Notamacropus eugenii: one gene and its partner. The protein of the gene in region 1 binds, or shares a complex with, the protein of each later gene. Links are inferred from orthologs where the notes say so. Each region holds a gene or a part of one and is shown in the gene's direction. Other genes may lie near its edges. The genes, in order: CD40 and CD40LG.

Evidence for each region.
Region 2: the proteins of CD40 (region 1) and CD40LG are in contact, whole or in part, in a crystal structure (PDB 3QD6), measured with the Homo sapiens proteins. The link is inferred for Notamacropus eugenii from reciprocal best matches to the Homo sapiens genes CD40 and CD40LG. Residues at the interface, in NP_001241.1 of Homo sapiens: Glu64, Ser65, Glu66, His76, Cys77, Gln79, Tyr82, Asp84, Asn86, Leu87, Trp109, Cys119; in NP_000065.1 of Homo sapiens: Ile127, Glu129, Ala130, Lys143, Gly144, Tyr145, Tyr146, Cys178, Pro217, Cys218, Gln220, Ser245, Gln246, Ser248, His249, Gly250, Thr251, Gly252.

What each region holds. Positions count from the first base shown.
Region 1 is NC_092872.1:475,711,379-475,720,591, forward strand, and holds the start of CD40 (tumor necrosis factor receptor superfamily member 5), read left to right. Parts: upstream 1-5,501; 5' UTR 5,502-6,110; coding exon 6,111-6,152; intron 6,153-9,213.
Region 2 is NC_092879.1:57,943,427-57,952,743, forward strand, and holds the start of CD40LG (CD40 ligand), read left to right. Parts: upstream 1-5,583; 5' UTR 5,584-5,689; coding exon 5,690-5,845; intron 5,846-8,649; coding exon 8,650-8,778; intron 8,779-9,317. UniProt on the Homo sapiens protein: Cytokine that acts as a ligand to CD40/TNFRSF5. Costimulates T-cell proliferation and cytokine production.

The sequences.
Region 1 (9,213 bases):
AGTACTTTCCCAAAATCTCCCACTTGTTCTTCAGCTCTACCAGATGTGGCTGGGGAAATTCCCAAACCACTGGGGATCATGGGCAGGAAATAAAAAGAGGGATGTGTCCAAGTTCTCTTCTCTAGAGTAGAGGGAAAATCAAGAGAAGGATGGTGAGAGAGGTAGTCTTCTCCTCCAGCTCACCAGCCTGATGGGAGCCAATTTGGGGATTTGAGATTGATCTGCATTGCCTCTGCAGCCCTGGTATTCAGGACCCTCAGTAAGCAGCTTGAGATTCTGGATGTAGCAATAACTGCTCAAGGTTCCTCCCATCATTTAATGGAGGCCTAATATTTCTCAGTGTAATGGCAATCCCCTAATCTACATAGTGATCAGGAAATCTGAATCTTGAGGGACACAGATAGAAGAGAAAGGCAGCCTGTCTTGGTTGCTGACATCCAGATCTCACCCATTTGGTCCTGCCCATTTTAAGTATGTGTACCTTATCATTTACTTCAATAAGGGTGGGGTGGGGGCAGAAGAGTGATCATGAGTCTCTCTCTGCCAGTCCCCCTCTCTCTGTATCATTCTCATCATCCTGGGCAAAATAAATCAAATAGTTAAGTGATCAGGTAATCAACTCAGGTTACAAATGTTTTAAAGTTGTCAGGAATTAAAGCCAAATTCACTAGCCTTTCACTTCCTTTTGTGAAAATTGGAACACCTACCTTTCTCCAGTATTCTGGCATCTTTCCTATTCCCTACAGGCACTCAAAGGTTCCTGATAGTGATGCAGCAGTGACATTTTGCAGTTCCTGAAGGAGCCTTGCCAGGCAAGTCAAACCACCAACTCCATCTGGTCTACTACTTTCTTTCACATTCCAGTAGAAACAATCCAGAATCCTGATTCTAAGAGCTTTGGGAAGAGAAGAACCTCTCCCACTCCTAGACCACTGACAGTGCTTTCAGTCCAATCCTTGAGGCCATCATTCATGGGAGCAACTCATGTGGTGAAGGGCCCAGTCATCCTGACCAAAAGCAATCCATAGGGCAGGCAAGCTACTTAGTGGAAGCAATAAAGCCCCCTGGGGGACAGATAGGAAGGTGTGTCATTTGGGTGAATCAAACTATTACTACCATTCCCCCTAGATCCTATAATACCAATGCAATACCCATAGCAGCCTCTATGAATATGCATGTGTATTTCCAGGGTAAATTCACAAAATATAAATAACTCTCTACCTTGAAGGCAAAACCAAAATACTTATTTGGGACATCATTAGAATACCAAGAGGTAAGATTTAACAGGGTACTTATCACTAATCCAGGGATTACCCTGACATCTTAAACGTTCTTTCTGTCAGGTCTCCCCACAAAAACAAGTTCCCCTAGACAAATTCCTCCCTCTGCCCACTCACAGCTTGCTTCTCTCTCTCTGCTCTGCCTGCTCTCACTCTCTGCTCATGCTTGCTCTTTCTCTCCTTCTTGGGCAAGCTCCTCCCAGTCTGAGCTCCATGTAACCACAGATTCCATGTGATCACAGGCTCCATGTGTTAGGCCTATTAATGGGCAGGGAAGATCTTCCTATTCTACGAACATTGCAGACCCACAGACCAAGAGGACTGAGAATAGCAGCACTGCCAGCCTTGCTTCTAACCCAGCCCCTGCAGCTGTCATCTAGGAGATCAAGCATTCTAAAGATGGACCTGGCCTCCACAGGTGCTTCTGCCCTGTCTCCTCTTTGGTCATAGCTATTTAAGAAAGAAGAAAGGAAAGAAATACTTTAAGAAAGCTCTCATCATCAAAGTCCTTAGCATTATGAAATGACTCAGTATCAGAAAGAAGTCTGATTTTTATCAGAGGAAATAAAATTAAAGAAGAGGCATCACCAGCTGCTTTGCTGTTGTACCCTAAAGACCGCTAAGCTTTCCTACCTGACTTACTGCTGAATTCTCCTATATGTACTATTTCTCTCTATTAGAATGTGAACTCCTTAAGAGTAGGGATTGTCCTGTTTTTCTGTTGGAATCAATAGCATTTAACACAGTGCTTTGCATGTAGAAAGCACTTAAATGATTTTTCATTAATTTATTCAGTTATTCTTTTATATAGTTCTTGAGGGCTCTTCCCCTATGACTTAACTCCTCTAGGGCTCTACTCTCTTACTATTTCCTCATTTATCTTTAGCTTTAATATCCTATTAACCAATTACATTTCATCCTTTCCAGTAGAAAAACTATTTTCCTTGATAGAAGAAACAGACACAAAATAAGAGAGATGAGTACTTCTGCTTTCATTCCCTCATCCATCATAAGTTTTCCATCCAACTTGAGTGCTTCTGAGTCTTCTTTCTCCCCAATTTAGCTAATAAAGCTTTTTAAAATTATTCTTAGTATTCATCAACAAATTCAGCTCCATCTTGGACTTTAGCACTCCTAAAATATTCTTAGAGGACCATGCTGCCTTTTTTGAAAAAAGTATTATTCACTGTAATGGAATACTCTTGTACTATAGGAAATGATGAGCAGTTTGATTCCAAAAAAAGCCTGGAAAGACTTACATGAACTTATGCTGAGTGAATTGAGCAGAACCTAAAGACACTGTACCCAGTAACATCAACGTTGTGTGATGATAAGTTATGATAGACTTAGCTCTGCTCAGCAATACAATAATCCAAGACAATTCCAAAAGACTCATGATGGAAAATGCCTTCCACATCCAGAGAAAGAACTATAGAGTTTGAATGCAGATGGAAGCAGACTATTTTCACTTTGTTTTTTTTCATGTTTTTTCCCTTTAGTTTTGTTTCTTCTTTCACAAGAGGACAAAGTTGCTAACATGACTAATGTCTCAGTCCTCATCCATCTTGATCTCTTTGCAGCATTTGATGTTATTGACCACCCTCTCTTTCTGCATATTTTCTCCTCACTGGGTTTTCATGACACCAGGAAAGGGGAAGGCAATAAACAATCATATGGAAACTTCTGTGTATCAGGCACTATGCTAAGTACTTTTAAAAATTATCTCATTTTATCCTTCATCTCTGTAAGGCAAATACTATTATTACCCCCATTTTACAGTTGAGGAAACTCGGGCAAACAGATGTTAAGTAACTCACCAAGAGTCACACAGCTAGTAAGAATCTATTTTAATTGCTCTTCTTTGGCTCTCTTACTTCTTTGATTGTTCCTCTTCAATTTCCTTTGCTACATCATCACCCTTATTACCCTTCCTAACTGTAGGTGCAACCCAAGACTCTGTCTGGCCTTACTTTTTCTTTATACACTCTCTTTTGTGACTTAAATAAACTCCAATGGGTATATCATCATCTCTCTGCAGATGATTCCCAAATCTGTATATCCAGTCCTAGTATCTCTCATCTTGAATCACCAACTAGCTGCCTTTGGATATTTCAAACTGAATGTCCCAGAGGCATATCAAAGTCAACATGTCCCAAACAGATTTGATTACCCTCCCCCTAAGGCCATCCCCTCTTACCAACTTTCTTCTTCCTCTTAAAGGTACAAAGTTCCTACAAGTTATCCAGACTCTCAATCTCTTTTGTTGTTGTTGTGTCCAACTCTTTATGATGCCCTTTGGGATTTTATTGGCACTAGAGTGGTTTGCCATTTCCTTCTCCAGCTCATTTTACAAATGAGGAAACTGAGACAAACAGGATTAAGTGACTTGCCCAGGGTCACACAACTAGGAAGCGTCTGAGGCTGTATTTGAAGTCAGGAAAAAGATTCTTCCTGATTCTAAGCCCAGGGCTCTATTCACAGAGCCACCTAACTGCCTCATTCTCTAAGTCATGCTTAGCTCCTCATTCTCCATCACCTCCCATATCCAGTCAGGTGGCAAGTCCTGTCGGTTCTGCCTCTATAACATCTCTGGCATTTATCTCCACTCTACTCACATAACTACTGCCTTAGCCCAGTGCCTTATTACCTCTCTTCTGGACTATTGTTATAGCTTCCTATTTGGTTTTCCTTTTTCTAGTTTCTTTCTTCTCCACACAGCTGCCAAATTGAATAGTACTAAAACAGGTCTCCAATCATGTCAAGCCCCCTGTTCAATAAACTTCTGTTGGTTCCTTGAAATTTCTAGGACCAAACACAAATTCCCCTGTTTGGCATTTACAGCATGTATTGTAACTCTTTCCTTTCCCAGGCTTATTAAATATTACTTCCTTTCACATCTTCCTTGGTCCAAACTCCCAGGACCTTCTCATGTGTCTCATGACAACATTCCATCTCTAGTCTCTGAACCTTTTCACAGGCCATTCCTTCATTCCCAGAATGTCCTTTCTCCTTATCATCATCTCTTAGCATCCCTCATTCCTTTCAAAGCTCAACCTAAGCACAACATCCTACATGGGACTTTTCCTGATTCCCACTATTGCTGGTGCCTATGCTCCCAATTACCTCATAGTTATTCTGCATCCATATATAATTGATGCACCTAGGTATATATGTACACATATACACACATATGCACATAGCATGTCCCCAGAAGTTGTAGTACAATTTTAAACTTTAATAGCTTCAAAAATATAAATGCTAAACACTTATGGAAATGTAATTGTAAAGTTTACTCCTATTTCTTTGATGCTTATTTAATCTTGTTTAATTTAACTGTGAATTTTAAATTAATTTAATTGTGAATTTTGAGTACAATTTTTTTTAAGTTTAACGAGACGGTGTATGATTTGTGTGTGACAGTTTTTGAATGGCACTTTCTCTGAACATGGGGTGGGCGGGAGTCTCTTTTTGGGCTTGTCTAAAGTCACCAGAAGTCCAGCAGAACCAGGCTTGGATCCCAGATTTTCTAACTCTCACTTGGGGATTCTTGTAGGAGGAATAAGGTTTTACAAGATTTTGAAACCACAGATTTGGGGAGGTGAGGAATAGAGATTTTGTAAACCTGTGTGTAATGCAAAGATCACTGGATTTCAAATGAGATGTTCTGCCTTGGATTTCTTGATCTTAGGCAAAATTCCTTCCCTTCTGGGCTTCTATTTTTTTCCCCTTAAAATGAAGGTGGTAAATACATTTTGCATGCTCTCTGCTACAGAAATATAAACAATGACTATATTCTTGATTGTTAAAAGAAAGTCTGGAGTTGGAACGGGGAGGTGGTGACTACATAATCCTTAAAGTCCCTTAAAACACTCATAATACTAGGAAGAAAGAATGGTGAAATCTATTCTTTATAGCTTCTGAATCTTTCAGTAAGTGTGTATTAACTACCTACTGTGTGTCAGGCATCAGGCTAGGAGGTGAGGGCACAAGGACAAGTCCTTTCTCTTTGAGGAGCAAGTGGGAGTCAGGAAATCTGGCATCAGGCCTAGTCCCGCCGAGGACTCCTGAGTCAAGTTCTCTGTTTTGTAAAATGGCAGTAACTTTGACACTAGGATTGTTAAGTGCTGCTGAAATAATATGAACTATGGTTGGTCTTCCTGTCAGTTTCGGTCTTACAGTTGGGACAGAGAAGCGCTTCTCCCTACCCTCCCAGGTCCCTCATTTAGCCTGGAATTTCCTTAGGAATGAAAGAGAAACTCAGCTTGGGAAACTCCTTTCCTTGCCAACACCCCCGCTCTCCTCTCAAGCTGCATTTCTCCCAGGGGACTTCCTCTAGAAAAGCTGGCAGAGAGCCCAGAGGGCGGGGGGGAACAGACTTTCAGTTCTGTCGGCTCGGTGGACCGTGGTGGGGGTGGAGCAGGGTTGCGCCCCTAACCAGAGGGTCTCCAGGCCCACGGGCGAGTCTCAATTCAGGGCTCTTATAATCCTTGGAGTACAGACAGGATACCTCTTTCCTGCCTTTCCTGCCCTCTGGGATTTCACTACAGGAGTTGGAAGGAAGAGGAGAGAAGCTCAGGGTGCTAGGAAAAGAGTCTTCTCAACTGGATCTCGGAAAACTGTCCTAGCCCAGAATATCCACGGGAAAGACTCAATTGAGGTGCGTCCAGGGGACTCTCCGGGCTTCTAGTTCTCCCGCCAACATCATTAACGATTGACTCGAGGTGGCCAGCCCATGTTATGGGTGGAGCTTCCCTGTGGTGTGTACGGGATTATTAAAACGCCGGCTACGGGTCACTCTCACCTGCCTTGGAGCTCTCATCCAGTCCAGCCATGATCCTGTTCTGTCTGCTGGGGGCCTGCGTTTTCACCGCTGTGAGTTGATTTCCTACCCCTTCATTCCCCTTCTCCTTCCCTGGAGGCCTGGCTGGGATCTAAAACTTGGGATGAGATGGAAAGAAGAGCAGGGCTTTTTGGAGAGGGCTCACCCATCTAGCCATAGTCTGGATCCTAGGGGATCCTGAAAGGTGCTCCCTTTACGCCTCAGTTTCTTCCTCTGTGAAATGAGGATAATAGACTCTCTGAGGTTCCTCCTTCACCAGACCATTTACCAGAACATTTGAGTTACTTTCTTGAGATCAACTAATGAAAGATGGGGAGAAGCTGAAAGTTGAACATAAGGGAGAGAGAGAGGGTAGGGGAAGGGAAATGACCTGGTGGCAGAAGACAACTCTCCTTATTTATGGGGAGTGAGCTGTGGGTCACCCCACTAACTGCCAGACAATAGGTCATTTATCCATGGTCTGCTCCTTGCAGAAAGCTTTAAGGGTCTGAGGAAATCAGTGTCTTAGTAGAGCTGAATCAATTCATCCCACATTCCTTGAGTTTGTATTATGTCCAGTTCAGTCCAGAGTTTTTGTGTGAGTTCTATCACTGACACGTCAAAGAGAAAGAGGGGAGACAGCCTCTCAGTTGGCACAGAACTAGGCCCTGGGAGTCTGTGTTCTGGCTTAAACCCCTGGGACTGGCTGACTAAAGAATTGAGGAGGTTACAGATAGGTTGTATCTAGGCCAGAAAGGAAATGGAATAGAATAGGAAGAGGTGGAATAAGACCAGTTTCCTGTCCCTTTGCTCATATTACAGGATGCTGTTGCATCTGGTAACATGGTCATGGGATCCTCCATAACGTGGGGGGAATCTTATCAGTGCTTCCCTTCTGTGCTCTTTCTGGGGATAGAGGGAAGGATAGATGAAGAGTTGAAACTCCTTAGAGAAGGGGCAGGGGGAGACACAGCAGGCAAGGCTACCACATCTTTATAGGACCCCTGCTCTGGTCGCAGGGGAAATGCCCAGGGAAATACCCTATGATCCCTAACTCAAAGAAATGGACACAATTTGAGGGATGGCATCAGGGGATTAAATTAAACAAATCATTGGGAATTGTTTTTTGAACTGAGAATCCTGGAATGTTTGATTTGAAAGGGGTTCAGAAAACAGAATGCCAAAATTGGAAACAGTAGAATAGAGAATATCAGAACTGGAAGGGATTTTAGAGGGAAGTACAAAATCAGTGGAAGAGATATTAAATTTGGAATCAGACACCCAAGTTCAAATCCCTGATCTGTCTCTTAGAACCTGTGTGACCTTGAGCAATTCATTTCACCCCTCTATCCCTCAATTTCTTCATAAGAATGAAGGGGTTAGACTAGATCTATTTCTAAAATCCATGTCAAATATCTTTGATCCTATGAACATATAATGTCAGAACTGGAAGGACCTGTAGAATACAAAACATCAGAATTTCCTAGTTCTTAGACCACACCATGACAAGGACCTAAGCTTTATGAAATGGTAGAGTTGGAAAGGACCTTAGAGACTGTTTTAGTTCAACTGTTGCAATTGACAAAAGAGGAAACTGGGGCTCAGTGATATGAAGTGACTTGCCCACATTGAATTAGGCAAAGGCTTCTTCCTCTCAACCATACTGTCTCTCAGAGGGGACTTCAGTACTGCCCCAGGATGATGGTGTCTCTCTGAAGCTTTCTCTGTCTCTCTCTCTGTCTCTCTGTCTTTCTCTCTGTCTGTCTCTCTCTCTCTGGCGCGCGTGCGCGCACACACACACACACACACACACACACACACACACACACACACTCTGAAACTCAGAACTGCCCAAGCATATCACTGGGGAATTTATAAAGAGCCACGCCCCTCTCAGTTTTTTGGATAGTTCCTCATTTTGGAGGTTGGGAATTCCCCTTGTACCTGGTCTGCTGTGTTGTGTCCCCCCCCCATAACTTCCCTCCTGTTACGCACCCCATTTCACTCAGTTGGGGGGGAGGGGGGAGTTGTCAGTGAACTGTAAAACTCTAGAGTGAATAAACAAGCCTAGGAGGATTGCTGGGAAGGAGTTGGGTTCCTGATGGGAGAGGAAGGGGAAAGCCACTTCTGCTTCCCTCACTTTCATTTTCACTGAGCACAAAAGTTAAGAGGGCAAATAGAGATATAGAGAACGGAGGATGAAGCCAGAGGTGGAAGAAAGAGCTTTTGTGGAAGGGACCACATGGGGGGAAGAGGCTGGTAGAAAGGTAGTGAAGTGTAGTAGGGTCAGGCTCACTAACCCCTCATTCCAAGTTTTGCCACTGGGCAAGGGCTGAGCTCCCCAAAATAGGGAGAAGAATTCTTTAGCCATGTGCACTTGAGAGTATTTTGTAATAGGTTGGTCACAGGTTCACTGGAGATGGGTTTCTCTTCTATTTTATGATGGAGTTAATGATATTGGTTACTGGACTGAAGAGCACTAGACTTGGAGTCAAAAGTCCCAGATTCTGGGCTCAGATGCAAAACTTGCTAGCTATGTGATCTTAAGTAAATCATGTCCACACTTCAAGCCTCAGTTTGCTCATCTATATAAAAGAGATACTAATACTGGCACTAAAGGGCTTTGCAAAACTGCAAACTGTGAAAGTCCTATGTAACTGTGACCTGTTATTTTAGTGGTAATTCTCCTGTGTTACAGTATAAAGAGCACTGGATTTAGGGTTAGAAAACAGGGGTCCCCATTCTGCTTTTGCTACTTATTATCTATGTGACCTTGGGCAAATTACTGAATTTCTTTGGACTTCAGTTTCTTCTTTGAGTCTCAGTTTCCTCCTCTGTAAATGAAGGAGTTGAATTAAATGATCCCTAAAGTGCCTTCTAACTGGATCTAATGGGGTGTGTGTGTGTGTGTGTGTGTGTGTGTGTGTGTGTGTGTGTGTGTGTGTGTGTGTGTATGTGTAGCTGAAATGACCATTGTATGGTAAGAGCCATAGGCTGTTGTATTTTAGGGGGCCTACTTAGGCTGGAAGGCTTGACTAGCTATTTTCCCATTTGGGGTGCTGTGTACTTTCCTAAATTTCAGAGACTTAGAGTATTACTGAATGGCAGCCTTCC
Region 2 (9,317 bases), on another chromosome or scaffold:
ACTCAGTTCAAAATACCATGTCTTAGGAAGGATGTTGACAAACGGCTCCCTTGAGGATACCATTGAAGCCCACTCACTGTCCATTGATTCTCTCTTGCTCTTGTCATGTGGAAGTAGGGTAGGATAGGAGGACTTTTTGGACACCACGCCAACATTTGTGTTCTTCATTCCTTTGGGACAAACCCCATTGGAGCGTTTCCTTACTGAAGGTCACAGGAACTTAGCTTTAGTAGACTTCAAAGGGAGTTTTGAGATCCTCTAGTCCAGTGTTTTTTAAACTGTGGGTTGCAACCCGGAAAATTTGGCAACAGTAAAAGGTTTCCAAAGATGGAACAACCAAAAAATTAAATAAAAATCAAGCATGTAATGAATCGGAGATGTTTCTGGCAGCACTTGGTTCTGAACATAAAGCATATGTACTGTGCACTGTGTCCTCAGGCTATGTAATGCCAACCAATGCTATTTAAACACAAAAAGGGGTCTCAAAAAAGTTTAAGAAGCCCTGGTCTAGTCCAACCCCATCCCTTCACAGAGTAAGATGCTGAAGCCCAGGGAGGGAAGGTGACTCAGTGGCAGAGCTGGGACTGCCTTTCTCCCTGCACTGTCTGGGTGATTGGTGCAGTGAAAGACTAGTCTAGTCAGATTCAAGCTCTGATCACAGACTTTAAACCATCCTTGTCTCCTTTTCCTTTCTGTAAAGAAATTTCTCCTCTCCCACCTCCACCAGACATCTATTATGTCCATGTAAACAATGGTGGAGAACAGTTTGCTGCATTTGCTGAGTCAGGAGCCCAGACTGGACCCAGCAGCCCCCAGTTTAATGAATTGAGGTCGGCCTGGGGAAGGAAGTGCTAATATAGTCATAGCTCACATCTGTAGGTGTGAGCTGATTCATGTCAGAGGTCTTGAGCCATGCAAAGGATGGCAGCCAGCAGATGGCAGAAGAACGTCCTCTGAGAATTCTGGGGGGACTAGAAGGAAGGAGAGTGCTTCCAAGGAGTGGCCAGTCCCTCCTTCCCCTTGCACCTTTGATTTGTGGAAGTATAATAGAGATCTCCACATTATATAATAATAAGGAGAAAAGCTAATATTTGTATTATGTTTACTATATGCCAGGCACTGTGCTTAGCACTTTACAATTGCTTTCTCATTCGATCCTCACAACAACCCTGGGAGCTAGATACTATTATGAGCCCCATTTTACAGATGAGGAAACTGAGACATTTAGAGGTGAAGGGACTTGCCCGGGGTCATATAGCTAGTAAGTGTCTGAGGCTAGATTTCAACTTACATCTTCCTGACTCCAGGCCCAGCATTAAGGCCTGGAGCTATATCCATATTTCAAGGCAGCATGGCATAGTCTAGAAAGAGGATTGGATTTGGAGTTCCAGAAGAAATGCCACCTGACTGTTCTGTGACCCAGAGCAAGTCACATACCCTTTCTAGGCCTCAGTTATCTCCCCTCTCTTTAAAATGAACTAGAGGGCTTCTGAGATCCTTTCCAGCTCTAAATCATCGATCCTATGGTGAGGCCCTGGGCCAATCAATTCCCTTCCCTGGGCCTCAGTTTTGTCATCCATCATAGGGCTTCTTAAACTTTTTCCACTAGAGACTCCTTCAGCACTTCTTAAACTGTGGGTAACGACCCCAAATGAAGGGAATGGATTAGATGGTCTCTTAGGTCCATTTGAGCTCAAGATCCATTATATATGTATTTGTTAATATGATCATTATTGAACATTAGATCTGGAATCAGATCTTGGTGCCCATAGTATTCCAGCTCCAGAGCTGGAAGGGATCTCAGGGCCCATCTAATCCAAGCCGCTGATTTTTTTATAGATGAGGAAATTGAGGCCCAAGAAAGGTAAGTGACTTATCTAAGGTCATGCAGATAGCAAGTAGCAGAGGCAGAATTTGAATCCAGCTCCTTTGACTCCAGCCTCAGCTCTTTCCCCACTATGATAAAGACTTAGTCCAATATCCATCATTTTACAGGTGTGAAAATGGCTAACTTTTCAGTAGAGCTGGGACTAAAATTACCCAAGTCTCAAAACTCTTAGGTCAAGAGTTCTTTTGTCTGTCTCCCTCCCAAAGCTAGAGGAGAGTGATCAGGACTTTGTCCCAGGACAACCACATCTACAGTGGGAAAACTTCTAACAAGGAATGAATTGTCTTTATTCCTAGCTCAATGCCTGGTAAGACAAATGTGAATTTTGAAGACACTGATTTGGTAACAAGCCAAGAGTTGTTGGAGGCAGAACCTGGTAGGTAGTGAGACTCCAAGAAGGAACAGAAGACAAAGAGTTTAATCAAGGAGAAGACCGGTATGAGTTGTTGTCGTTTTGTTGAAAAGGCTGTTAGAACTTAGTCAATGGGAGACAGTGAAGAGAATAGTCCCTCATGGACAACGGTCCAAGCTAGAGTGGCTTGTCTTGAAGGATGTCTGGATGTAGAACCTAGAGAAGCAGCTAGCTTGGGCTTCTGGCAGCCATGGGAAGCAGGGTTATGCCCCCAAGTCCAACAAGAAAGAATTGAGGTTCTGCACAGACCAGGGAGAAGACAGCGATCCTGGGGGGTGAAGCAGACTAAAGTGGTAATAACCAGTCTTATACCCCAAGCTGAATACCTACCTATATAGAATTTGTGCCCTCAAATTCTTGGGATCACAGATCTAGAGCTGGAAGGCCATCTAATACAATCCTTTTGGGGTTTTTTTGTTGTTGTTTTTGTTTTTACATATAAAGAAACTGGTGCCCACAGAAGCTAGTTGACTTACCCAAGGTGGGACAAATAGTAAGTATCAGAGGTGGAATTGGAACCCAGGTCCTCTGACCCTGAAGTCAGCACTCTTCCCACTGTACTCCTCCCTCCCACTACAGTAAAAGATTTTTGCCTGAGCCAGATGGTGATAAAGGACCTGGAATCAGTGCTAGGACTGGACATTTTTGTACATGGAACAAAGAGATCCCAAGACACTGGACAATTCACTTGGAGTGTGGCCACTGGCCACCAGAGAGGGAGGGATCATCTAATGGCTTCCTTATTGAACTAACCATTACTGTTAACTAGGTGTTAGGCTCAGTTGTTTCTAGATGCTGAAGGACTCCAAGTGCTTTTAGCACCCTCTAAATTTCCCTTGCCCTAGGACAAAATTCCAGTTGCCCTACCCTAGTTATAGAACTTCCTGGAGTATTCTCATCAGACTGGGAAAGAAAAATCTGTAGCTCAAGGCTGGAGTCTAAGAAAAGGAAACAAAAAAGAAAACACCTTATCCCTTGCATTAGAGATGACAAGACAGCCACAAAGACAAGTAAACCCTTCCTCTCCCATTGCTGTCAGAGACACCTTATAAAGCTGCCCAAGGTTTCTTTCCACGGGTTTACAAAAACCCAGCCTCAGCCCCTAGGCTGACCCACTGTCCTTTTCTCCTTTTCCCCCTCTTCACTGCTATGACCTTTGGTCATGCTAGCCAATGTTAATATTATAACATCCTGACTTCTCAAACCTAGGGGCCTGGGAAGCCAGTGTCTAGCCCAGTAGATTTCATAATGTAGCATCTTCCCTCAGTGGAATTAAACAACCTTGTGGAAGAAAGGAGATGTCCAGCTCTGATAAAAATCGTGCTATTTGCCTGGGAGCTGATTTGCTGCACACACACGCACACACACAGAGGACAGGATGCTGGAGCGTGGGTGGTGATGAGCTGATGCTGAGTCTACTGGTGGTGTGCATATCTGATCACTGCTGCATTTGACATTGTTTTCTTTCAAAACAATTTGGAATTCATTACAGAAACAAACTTTTCATTGTGGTCTCTGGCCAAACATGAGTCTCTTGACACTTGCTGCCTGTCACAGAACATTTCAAGAGTTTCTTTAACCATGAATGCCTTGTGGGAAGAAAATGCAAATAGCATTTAGAAAAGTGGATTTCTTGACACCTAAGTAATTTGCTGCTGATACTTTTGGGGCTTGGGGGGGTGGGGTGCGGGAGTGGGTTGTCTGTCTCACTACGAAGTGAAATGTTAGCACTTATTTGGCAAGTTCAGGTCATGCTTAGAGAAAATCCGGATGATTCATGGGAGTAACGTCAGATCAAGTCGATTAAATTCAACAATCATATTAAAGTGCCTACTATGTGCCAGGTCCTGTGACAGTGCTGGGCCTACAAAGACAAAAAAAATTGAAATAGTGCCTGCACTTAAGGAGTTTCCAATCTAATGAGGAGCTTATAGCAAGTGACTGGACAGAGAATAGGGCCTGGACAAGGGAATTCATTTTCATAGGGAAATCCCCTCGTGAGAAAACTCCCTCTTCCAATGCAAGTCAGTATTGACTTTTCTCCAACTTAAGAGACCTAGAGAGTCTAGTCTAGAGTCTAGAACACTACAAGGTTAAGTGATTTGCCCAGGGCCACACAGCCAATAAGTGTCAGAGGCAGGACATCAACCCAAATCGACTTGGTTCCTAGGCCAGTTTTACCTACTATACCATGCTGCCTCTCATGAGTTGGTATGGGACAGGGGTGGGGAGCCTGTGACTTTGAGGTCACACGTGGCCCTCTAGGGCCTCAGGTGCAGCTCTTTAACTGAATCCAAACTTCACCGAACAAATCCCCCTAATGAAAGGATTTGTTCCGTAAAACTTGGACTCAGTCAAAAAGTTGAACCTGAGAACCTAGGGCCACATGCGGGTTCCCCACCCTGGTAGAGGACTTAATATTTTATCCAAAGTTCATTCACATGTTTTATCTTATTTGAGTCTCATCAGGAGCTAGAGGGGTGGGCAGGGTAGGCTTTCATTGTTCCCATTCCTTGGATGAGGAAAGGAAAGGTGATTTACATAAAGTCATGTGTCAAGTTAATAATGGAACCAGGACCAGACCAGGTGATCTTGTTCTGGATTGCTAGCAAGCGAAAGTTGATGGAAAGTGAAGATGTCATTATCTGATGGATTTGCTCCTGGTGAATAATGAATTTGGCTAAGTCAGAATAAAATTTCTCCATTCTCCTTAATCCCAAAGTTTGGGTCTAATTCTCTTGGATGACTACCTCAAGTCCTTCTTTCTCTTGGCCTATGGATTGGGTAGTGGTGGTGTTGAACTGTACAAAACCAACATGAATCTGAGAATTGCTAGTCTTCTGCCTTGCTTTGGGATGGACAGCTCCAGCCTAACCAGCCTTGATTCTGTGTGAGGAGCAATTAGCTGACCATTCTTGATAGTCAAATCAATCCAATCTTTTTTTTCCTAGGCCTATTTTCTTTTCCATAAACTGGAGACACATTAGTAAGACCGAAATTGAAGCTAGTCAGTCTTTGTCATTTTCCTGGAAACGGGCAAACCAAGACCCATCAAGCCTTGCCATAGGAAAATACTGCCATTGGCTACTAAGGTTTTGAACGTTTCAAGGCAGGAATGAATAGATGGAAGAAGCAACTCGTCTCTTCTTTGCCACCCAAAGGGGGAAAGCCTGGAAGTGAACGATATGGGTGCAATTAAAAAAAAAACAACCCTTTACGTAACTTTTTTACTGGGAGAGAACACCACGAAGCACATTTTCCAGGAAGTGTGGGCTGTGATGATTGTGTGCTCTTAACTAATCCTGAGTAGGGTAGCAAGTACACCAGCCTTCTAATGCTGCTTCTGCAAGCTCCTCTCTCAGAAGATCGCATTTCAACTCACCCGAAGCATGAATGAACCGTACAACCCACCTGCTCCCCCGGCTGGGAATACCATCTCTGTGGGCACCATGAAAATCTTTATGTTTTTACTTACCCTTTTTGTAATTGCTCAGACTATTGGGACGGCGTTTTTTGGTGTCTACCTTCATAGAAGGCTGGATGAGGTAAGACTAAGTGCAAGGCTTGATGAAATTGGGTTGCTTGTTTTTCTTGACTTGACATCTTGAGTTTTAACGTTGGGCTTCAAACTCTACCCAAATGAGGGGAAAGAGGAGAAGTTGGAGGGAGATGATATTCTTCCCCTACACATTTGGTTACCTCATCAAGGATTTCTTGTCCTTCAGATTTTTGCTCTTTCAGAAAGTTCCGTGTGATGAAAAGTCACTTTTGAATTTTTTTAATTGAAATTTACAATAGAAGAGCTCATTAGCAATGGATAAGCTCGTGTCAATTGAATATTTCATCCTATTTTCAATTAGCACAGACATGAGAGGACAAGAATATTCTGTCACTAATTAAAAGGTATTCTTTGCAGAATCATTTGTGATAAGGTAGCAAATTGATTTTTTTCTCTGAAAAATAGCTTAGATTTCCGTAGCACAACCAACTTTACAAAGAACTTTCCTTCCAATAATCATGGTAGATAAGTAGTGTCAGGATTTTTTTTTTTTTTGGCTAGACTTGTAATTTCATCCAGATCAGGAATGGTTTGCATGGAATGTTGTCCCCTGCCGCATATTAACAACTGTTCTGCAATTTATTGTCTTAAGAGAGTTACCTGGGGCGCTCTGAAAGGCCAAGTAACTTTCCTACAGCCACACAGCTAGCATGTGTCATAAAGAGGGCTTGAATTCAAGTCTTCCTAACTATCGGACCACTGTAGGTTAAACTTCCTCTCAGTGCCACAATGATTATCCCCCCTTTATAGATGGTGCAATTGGGATTCACAGAGCTCAAAGGTCTCCTGATTTCAAAAGCCGGCATTCTCCCCACTAAGCTCCATTGCCCGTCTTAGGTTGGTCCATGTCCTTCGACACTTAGGTTCAGAAACGCAAAAGTAGTTGGGTAATAGAGCGGGTCAATTTGAATTCTTAAAAAATTATAACAGGGAAGATGCATTTTGTTCCCACAGACACTCTCACTAACAAGAGACATGGAATATCTAGGGCAGGGCTTCTTAAATTTTTTCCACTCTTGACCCCTTCAGTATGACCATGACCCACAGTTTAAAAAGTCACGCTCTAGAGGATGCCACTCATTTCGATGAAAGAGGGATGATCCATACAATTATTCATATGGAAGCTTCTAAGAATCTGGATTTTACCAGTATACAAGTCGAACATGTGGGTAATGATGAATTCTTCATTTGTCCATCTGTCGTCCCCACGGCTGTGAGGCTAGCCATTGCCATAGCCTAGCGGGCATAATGGAGACCCTAGAAATATTAGATACAACGATCAGGATCCTGGTGGCTCAATAGCCAGTTAACAAGGAGAGCCAGAGAAGCTTTGGGTTTGGCCTTTGTCAGTCAAGTGTCTGGTCACTTGACTGGTTCTGGAGGTGAAATACCCCTCTTACCTGTGTAGCCCCAGCTTTCCTTTAGCACCCATGTCTAACCCCATAGCTAAAATGCCAGTGTTCTCCTTGGATGCCTCATCATGGTATGCAGATGACCCTTGGGTCTTTGGAGGCACTGCTAGTGGAGTACAAGCTTTGGCAAGTCTTACCAAGCTGAGAAGCCCTGGGCCTGGTGTCCAGCCCTGGTGATATGCTCTGTCTACTGCCTGAGGACCAGCTTAGATAAACCTAAAGAAAGAAACTCATTACCCAAAAGATGACTACAAGAATGGAGTCTTTGACAATGACTAATTCATGAAATAGTCTTAAAATGCCTCGATGGTTTGCAGTAAAGGGATTATACAGCTTAAATTCCACATACTGAAATCTCCTGAGGCATATGAATTGCAAGGACTTGTGACAATATTTTTGGATGAAAAGTTTCTATCAAGTTCCAAAGTTGTTGGTAGCTGGGGTGATGGAGAAAAGATTAGACTTGGAGTCTAAAGTTCTGCCTCTTATCCTTGCTGGATAGCCAAAGCCAAATCTCTTAACCTGTCTGGACCTCAGTTTCCTCATCCGTGAAATGAAGGGGTTGGGACTAGATCTCTTCTAAGGTCCTTTCTGAATGAAAATCTAAGTAAATTGAAGAGCAATAAGTTTAAAAAATTTTTATTTAAAAAATTTTTATTTTTAATGATATTTTATTTTATATTATTTTCATTTACTAATCTATCACCCTTTCCTTTTCTACCCAGTGAGCTATCCTTTGTAGCAAAGAGTCAAAAAAGAAAAAAAGTTTCTTAGTAACATTTCCCAACACATCAATCCAGTACATGTGATGTAGCACCCCGTAGCCCGCAAGCTTTGCTAAACAGTGAGCAAAGCACATGAAATAACACTTTTTCAAATAGTCAAATGCTAAAGTGTGATTTTAATATAACAATTATTGTGATTGTGGTTTGGGGGTATCATGTTTTTAGTTAGGTTGTGATTTCTGCCTAGGTCCCACTAGTGCGCCAGTTATCCCAGGATACTTTGCTTCTGGCTTGTGAGGAAATAGAGACCTCCAATTCCCTGAAAGTTGGATATTCAGTATGTGTAGAGCCCATATAAGATTGTATGCCATCTCAGGAAGGGAGGGGAGAGGGAAGGGGAGAAAACTGAAGTCTTATGGAAGTGATTGTTGAAAACTGAAAACAGATAAATTAATTACATTTTTTTAAAAAGTTGGATATTCAGTGCCATTACTCACTATTTGGCATGTTTTAGATGTCATCCCCCCCCCCCCCCCCAATCGTTTTTCTTTCAAAGCACCATGGGAGGGGATAGGGGGCCTGGGTGTTGAAGCATCATTGCCTGATGCACTCTCAGCCTCATGGGGCTCACATCTTTGCTCTTCCACAACCAGGTAGAAAAGGAGATGCATCAGCAAGAGGGCTATTTTATGCTACAGATGCTACAGAAATGCAACCAGAAAGACTTCACCAATTACCTGAACTGCCCGGAAATTCTAGCCTATTTTCAGAAGCAACTTAAGGTAAACTATGACTGATTTTATTGTCTATGTGGGTCATAAGAGCTAGAGATGAGCAGGACCTTCAGGGCCACCTGGTTCAATCTCTTGTTTTATGGAAGTTGAATGACTTACCCAAGGGTCACCTATCTAATAAATGGCAGAACTGGGAATTTTAACTCAGCTCCTCCAACTCCAAAACCACTTCTCTTTCCATTACAGTCCAACTCCCTCATTTTACAAATGAGGAAACTGAGGGCCAAAAAAGATTGAGTGACTTGCCCACACAGCTAATACATGGCAAAGCCGGGATTCAAACCCAGATCTCCAGCCAAATTCAGGGCTCATTCCAATCTGCCACATTTAACAATGTAAGTTTTAAATGAATACAAAGAAAATGCCATAAGAAAGGCAAAACACATGTGGGAAACTTATTGTGAAGGATCAGAATTCTGGAGGAGGAGGTCTAGGTTCTGAGCCTGGCTCTAACACTTGCCTCTTTGATTCCCTGGGTGATCGTATCAGACTTCATACTGACTTAGAAAAATCACATGTTTACGTTA